2 linked regions of the Arabidopsis thaliana genome follow. The protein of the gene in region 1 interacts with the protein of each later gene in a pairwise test. Each region holds a gene or a part of one and is shown on either strand. Other genes may lie near its edges.

Region 1 (3,988 bases):
CTTATGTGAAATTACGAAACTGCCTTATTCATGTTCATCTTCATCTTTCTGAAGTACCCCTTTTGCTCCCAGAACAATGTCCGCCGTCGTGCTCCGACCAAAACATGTAGTCTAAGTCTAATACTAGTTTGTATCATTATCTGTTACAACAAACATATCTGTGTACGGTAAAGGGCTTATCTTTGTGAAATGGATCTTTATTTGGGCTTTACCTTGTGACACAATAATATGTAGCCTTGGTTTGTGATATAAATTATTTTTTAAAGTTGGGATGTCAGCTGGGTTTCTCCATCTTCTGTAATGAATGTAGTTGATTCAAGTTCCGAGAAATTTATGAAGAAGCAAAAAAAAGAAAGCAAAAAAAAAACATTTAAGTACGAGATAGATTGATATACACTCATTCAAAAGAGAAAAAGTTATTTATACAGCAAGATAGTAGTAGTAATACAATCTGCCTTTCTAGTTTGTTAACTAAAAAGAAGAACAATAGAAAACATATAATTTTACATATATAACTCACCAATATTAAAATCAATATATATGGTAATTTATTTTCTAAACAATTTTTGTTTTATTTCATAAGAGTCTGTTTTCGTTTAATTTAATAAGAGGCTTAGACTTTTGTATTTATATATTAATTATTACATGCATTGAAATTTTGCAGAATCTTACACTCTAAAAGTATGATATATATTTTTATTTTTCAATAAGTGTTAAAATGCTAAACAACACCACAGATGTTCGTGTTATCGATTTGTCTCCAAAACTTCCTGTTATCTATAAAGTTGGCTCACAAAATCATACACCTATGCATCAAGAACGTACCACAGGTACGAAATGCCATAAATTATAAACTTTTGACGCTTACATTGGAAACAAGACAGAAAACAATACTATTATTCAACTCACAAAACCTTAACTAGATGTCTGAAAGCTAAAACATGTTGCATTGATCAGTGACAAGAGACTATTTCATTTAGTAATGATAAATTGATAAACTATGCTTATTCTTTAGTCTTTACAACCAAGTTGTCTGACTTTTAAATTGTTAATTAACCATCCCAAACATTATCGAAACCCGGAAAGATAAAAACATTTAAAAAAAATGCTCTCATAGTTTCATGATACTAAATTCAACTCCCTCGATAATATTTTTTCCCGTCATATTAATAAACATATGATATATATTTAAAAATCAACATCATCATCATCTAAGAATCTGTGCATTTCCAAGCATCTGGTGATGATCAGACCGCATAATGCCACACCCTTTTCCTCCATATCCTCCACCAACAGTACCCGCAAGTGCTCCTCCGGCCACCGCCGTCATTCCTCCGCCGTTAACCACCGCATGTTCCTCCAGCGACTGCACTTGCTTCTTGAGAAACTTAACGTAATGGATAGCCTCATCGAGCATCGACGCCGTATCCATCTTAGTCCCACCGGGAACAAGCCGCTGAAGAATCCGAATCCGCTCGCTTATCCTCTCCCTTCGATGCCGAGCTGCCACGCTCTGTGGATCCTTAGAGATCCTCACGTTCTTTCTCTTTGGTGGCTTTACGGATTCCGGATCAATATGTATAGGCTGCATCACGGCTATTCGAAAGATCATCTCTCTCATCGCCGCCATGTTGGCGTTGTCGCTGCAGCCTCCTCTCTTCTCCGGGAGAGATGATGACGGGGAGGGGGCGTACCGGAAATTTAAACCGGGTTGGTGGTGAGGCATGGTTTGGTCAAATGGGAGATGAGAATGAGTGGGGTTGAAGAAGAACGGGTGGGTGTTGGATTCAGAAAGCATCATAATGTTATGGGGATTAGGGTTAGGGTTTGAGTTAGAGAAGTGTTCAGGAAGCTTCTCCATCTGCTGCATCATCATGTTCATTAGAATGTCGGAGTTATCCATCCTCCTTTTTTGTGGAATTTATAGGGTTTGTTTTTTCTTTGAGAGATATGGAGAAGCTGGTGAGATAAGGTATGGAGGAAGAAGAAGATGGACTGACAAAGCTTGAAATTTAGGGCTTTGTGTGTCTGAATCACAGAAGAGATGATGGTGGAAGACAGAGGGAGAGTTATGTGCGAAATGTAAACTGTTACTACCAATCAGAGATTCAGCAATATAAAAGGAAGTGATGGATTTATATAGCACTTTGTGACCCATTCTTATTATTTTACTCCTTTTTATTACATATATAATTTATAACAATTAGGATTGTTTTCCTTCTTCTATTTTTCACACTCCTAAAACTTTGTAACACACACGTATATGTATTTAGTAAATATATGTATGTATACATTAACGTACACTAGCTAGCAGTTGAAAATTTGTTCATTGCTTTGACATGGATGTTTCAACCTTCCATATGCATTGGACAGTTATATTTATGTTGCACGTATTTTTTTTAACTATAAATAAAATTATACTATTTATTTTATGACAAAAAATATAAATTTATTTACTTTAAACTTTCAATACCAGTTTTGCATAAATTAGTTGGTGTACTTATATATACTTTTGTCTGGAATCATTGCAACTCGCAAGAGATTGGAATCACTAGTCACTTGGTGTCACTAAAATTAGCTGATGAATGGAAAATTCGTTTTGAGTCATATTTCATGAAGGATATTATCCTTTGTCTGGATCAACCGTTCACGTGTCACAATCGGTGGGATTTTGGACCCACGAGTTGTGAACTAAGGCGCTTCTGGACAAATGAAGGTGCATGAACCGCTCTCACCATTTGAGGCAGCAACCATGAATTTTCCTATTTCTACAATTTTAATTTGTTTTCAAAATATAAAAATAAATCTTTTATATAAGTTCGAATGAGTGTAATGGGAAAGACTGAAAGAGAGAGTAGTTGTGTAGTTTTTTTTTTTTGGTATCTAAATTTTATACTACTGTTTTTTTTTGTTTATAATTGTTAATTACCCCACATCCACATGAAATATGTCAGAATCCAGGGAACCCATCTGTTTCGCCGGGATCTGTTCAGGCGACGGCGAAACAATATTACCTTGAATTCAAGTTTTCTTATTTTAACTTTTAACCTGGATGGATCCAATATGTTATGCATGAGAATATTAATGAGATGCACTGTCTTCGTTAGTAAGTAGTAAATAAGATTGATGTTATAACTTCTTTGAACATGCTTGAAGAAAACGTACTACGTTATTATTTTTTTGCATGATTTTTTTGTTTTTGTTTAAATGAGTAATATAGTGAATTTCTCGAGTTTCACAAATACAAACCATCATGTTAACGTATTTAGTTTATATGAATTTGTTTTGCAATGTATATACTAAGGGAGTGTATATTATGGAAGAATATTATCTTATATATAATGGACTCAATATAATCGAACCTCACTTGGCGTCGAGCGTTGGTATATGGCACGCTTATCAAAGCCGATCGGAAAGGACTTATTGCGATCTTCATTAAATTATTTTTCTCTTTATTTTAAGAACTTTACGTGAACATAGAGTAGTACTGTTTATTGACAAAAAACAAATAAAGAACAAAAGAAAGAAATTCTTATAACATTAGTTAACAAAGGAATTGCACTTCAACAACCAAATTAATAATAAATGACTCTTTCCTTAAAAATGCATACGTCAAACGTCAAAAACCTCACAATCTTCAATCAAGATCAATGCTTGGCTTCATTTGTGCAAAATCATCGGGTTTTTTCTTTTCATTCATAGAAATCATCTCTTTTGACGTCACAAAAGTAATTGCTTACTTGTTAATTAAAATTATTATGAGTTCGTCTTCTACCCTATAATTAGCCTAAAATAGACAGACACAGTAAGTTGCTTTGGACTTGGTTTTACCCTCTTATGTTGACACTGAAACATGTAAGAAAGCTAACGAAACGATGACGTTTCGCTGCTCTCTCTTTTTCAATCAGCTTCGTAAGTAACAAAAATAGATGCTATTTTCCCCTTTTCACCTTTTTACTTACACAAAGTCACTGTAAGAATTAAACAC
Region 2 (3,817 bases), on another chromosome or scaffold:
TTCAAAAACTACTAAAGTGTTTACATCACATTTGAAAGCCTTCACCATTTTTTCATTTGTTATGAACATTGTATCTTAGAAGTTAGCACTTTAGAGTTTTTTGCAAGATAACATTGAAAATTTAATGCTTCCAGTATTGGTTAACTAGTCGGTTGCATGTGTAGTTTTCAAAGAAGTGCATTTGAATCCTAGATGTAGAAGAGATTAGGACTCTCTTTAATAAAAATTATATGTACCATTTTGGTTTCTTGATTCTAGAGTTGTATAAGCTGCAGAGTTTAGATATCGATAATTTTATGAATGAATCTTTTTTTTTCTAGGAATTATTGAGCATCACTGACGAAACAGGAGATGAACGCACTGGTTTAAGCGAGGAAGTGATTGATGAGAATCTAATAAGAAGGAAATATGAAAAGCGTAGCGACGATGAAACGAAGAGATGTGTGATCTGTCAGCAGAAATTGAAGGACAATGAAGAAGTTTCGAAACTGGGATGTGGGCATGACTTTCACTTCGGATGCATCAAGAATTGGCTAATGGTCACGAACAAGTGTCCTCTTTGCAACCGAGAAGTCGTTTAAATGTTTTATCAAGTTTGAAAGATTCCGTTTATCTCGTTGGATTTCAGTTTTTTTGTTTCTTTCTTTTGCTATGAACCATAATTACCAATATTTCCCTTTTTATCAAGTTAGAAAGATTCCATTTATTTAGATGGCAAGTTGGATTTTGATTTGATTTCTGATTTTGATTATTATCATCTATATATATATTTTTGCAGCCACTTTGTGAAATAAATTCTGGAGTTGGGATTTATTTACAGCGGCTGTCATTGGCATTTAATAATTGTTTTTGATAATTAGAAAGAAAATCTTCTAATTAAATATTTGACATTTAACAATCTTTCCAAAATCTCTCTACCTTAACTACACGATTAATTACTAAAATAAAACTTCTAAAATATTTAATATCATTTAATTACTACAAAATTATCATTTTTGATATTGCTTTTCTGCATGATTATAATCATCAAACCGTAGAGATATTTGATAACATTTAATTACTACAAAATTACAAAATATTTAGACAATAATTCATAAACATATCATAAATAAGATCACATTCATAAAATAAATGAGTTTTTTTAGAGGACGGGTTGGCGGGACGGGTTTGGCAGGACGTTACTTAATAACAATTGTAAACTATACAATAAAAATATTTTATAGATAGATACAATTTACAAACTTTTATATATATTAATTTAAAAAATAAATTGTTTTCGCGGTATACCGCGGGTTAAAATCTAGTTATTCTTATTTTTGCTATGAACCATAATTATTTTAATTACTATATTATATATATTTCCCTTTGGATGCATTAAAAAAAGGCTAATGATCAAGGACATGTTATCGTCTTTGTATTGACCATTATAATATCTGAATTTTATTTTGTGTTAAATAATCTCTCGAATAAATAATCTTTCGAAATGCATGCAGTTTTATTCACACTTTATCTGTGGACAACAACAACAACAAAAAAGAAGGAAAAAATAGATTTTTGTAATTTGTCAAAAATGGTGAAACTGTTGCGAGACCTTACTTTTCAAGTAATTGTCCATTTTCATGTTTAGTCATAATAATAATTAAATAGTCTATCAATGCTCTATCTTATCAATACTCTTATTTTTTCAACCGTTTCATTTACTGATTTTCATAATTTCATCCCCTCCTCTCAATTTAACTTATCACATTGAAAAAAACAATAAAAATGTATGTTTTTTATTTACTTGGTGGTCCAAAAATGCTTTTTTCCTTTTTTTTATTAGGTAAAAAATATAATATTATTAAATAAAATTGCTACAAAAGGAAACTGTTCACACACAGAGTGATGTGAGACACCAGATTCTGTCTATAGGGATTCGACACGCCACTCGCCTCTTTTAGAACCTCCACGCGCTTCTCTGAAGAACGTGATCTCACGCGTCCTACCTCCCCCGCCTATAAGCTTTACTACGAAAAAGCCACAGTGATAATTTTTACACACAGAGTAGAGCAGAGAGAGAGAGAGAGAGAGAGATGGGTGATTCTGACGTCGGTGATCGTCTTCCCCCTCCATCTTCTTCCGACGAACTCTCGAGCTTTCTCCGACAGATTCTTTCCCGTACTCCTACAGCTCAACCTTCTTCACCACCGAAGAGTACTAATGTTTCCTCCGCTGAGACCTTCTTCCCTTCCGTTTCCGGCGGAGCTGTTTCTTCCGTCGGTTATGGAGTCTCTGAAACTGGCCAAGACAAATATGCTTTCGAACACAAGGTATAAACTTAACTATTCTTAGCTGCAGAGATGCTTCACTTGGCTTTCCTTGTAAAAGAAAACAAAAACCAAAATTAGTCTCTTTTCTTTTTGGAATGGCTAAACACTAAAGAGAAGTGGAGCTAAACAGAGAAATTCGTTGAAGAGAAACATTGATGCTCAATTCCACAACTTGTCTGAAAAGGTTTTCTCTTTTATCTTCCTTTTAAGATTCTTAATTTAGAAAGAAGAAGAACCTTGAGATTGTAGTTGATTAGAATCTGAGTGTTAGCAGAAGAGGAGGAGCAAGATCAACGAGAAAATGAAAGCTTTGCAGAAACTCATTCCCAATTCCAACAAGGTTAATCAATCTTTGTTCGAATCAGAGATAGTGAGAAACATTGTTCTGATTGATCCGTTATCTTTTGTTTGTTTATAGACTGATAAAGCCTCAATGCTTGATGAAGCTATAGAATATCTGAAGCAGCTTCAACTTCAAGTCCAGGTTTTTTTCCTACTTACTATGATTATATACGTTCAAAGTCTGATTTGTAAATTACATCACTCAGATCATTAACTTGATTTACTGCATGATGCAGACTTTAGCCGTTATGAATGGTTTAGGCTTAAACCCTATGCGATTACCACAGGTTCCACCTCCAACTCATACAAGGATCAATGAGACCTTAGAGCAAGACCTGAACCTAGAGACTCTTCTCGCTGCTCCTCACTCGCTGGAACCAGCTAAAACAAGTCAAGGAATGTGCTTTTCCACAGCCACTCTGCTTTGAAGATAACATTCAGACAATGATGATGATCGGAATTCCTCTAGTACCTGCCAGACAGGAGTGAACAATGTTTTGAGTTTTAGCATTGGCCAGATTTCTATGTTCAGTTATAGTTATGCTAATAAGCTTTAGGAGTGAACAAAATCTGAGTAGTTTGATTATAATGATGTCTGAAGCAGATTATATATAAAAGACTAATTTACTTACATATGAGATGATTATTACAACTATCAAATGACTATGTCTGTGAGTTGCATCCATCCATAAGCACACCGGTCTCTACTACTTCGAGTGATTGCTGCTGCTGACTTAACCGCAGGTCTTATCTTCGTCATTGCTTTCTCTACTTGAATTCTCACGCCAACATCCATCTGTTATTTCAAATGGTACCGATAACTTTAGGGATATAGACAAGACAAATTGATATTAATAATATAACAAGGTTGTAAAGTAGAAACCTTTTCTAAAGAGCATTGTGTGTCTAAGATGTGGCAGAAGTATGACAGTTGCTTGTACAAGTCTGCTTCAGTGTACTGTAAAGTCAAGAGTTAGTCTGTGAAGCAATAGAGAGATAGGAGTTATAAGGTTGATGATGGTATATACCTTTCGTAAGAGGGTTCCGTTACAGTTAGGATAGTTTGGGCAAACTGTCCCCCGTTCACGTTCACCGAGTAGACGAAAGTTGGGGGAGCGGGTTGTGTGCTTGCATGACTCGTCTTCACACTGTTGAAGGCAAAATGT

What was found.
Region 2: the proteins of HEC2 (region 1) and ALC interact in a two-hybrid assay, tested with the Arabidopsis thaliana proteins (one large-scale study listed by BioGRID).

What each region holds. Positions count from the first base shown.
Region 1 is NC_003074.8:18,656,216-18,660,203, forward strand, and holds HEC2 (basic helix-loop-helix (bHLH) DNA-binding superfamily protein), read right to left. Parts: upstream 2,163-3,988; 5' UTR 1,904-2,162; coding exon 1,208-1,903; 3' UTR 740-1,207; downstream 1-739.
Region 2 is NC_003076.8:26,784,594-26,788,410, reverse strand, and holds ALC (basic helix-loop-helix (bHLH) DNA-binding superfamily protein), read left to right. Parts: upstream 1-1,979; 5' UTR 1,980-2,072; coding exon 2,073-2,309; exon of another isoform or gene 2,310-2,421; coding exon 2,422-2,493; exon of another isoform or gene 2,494-2,583; coding exon 2,584-2,649; coding exon of another isoform or gene 2,650-2,727; coding exon 2,728-2,793; exon of another isoform or gene 2,794-2,887; coding exon 2,888-3,079; 3' UTR 3,080-3,305; downstream 3,306-3,817. Other genes in the region: AT5G67120 (RING/U-box superfamily protein), read left to right, coding at 321-581; ICU2 (DNA-directed DNA polymerase), read right to left, coding at 3,307-3,447, 3,535-3,609, 3,680-3,799. UniProt on the Arabidopsis thaliana protein: Required for the dehiscence of fruit, especially for the separation of the valve cells from the replum. Promotes the differentiation of a strip of labile nonlignified cells sandwiched between layers of lignified cells.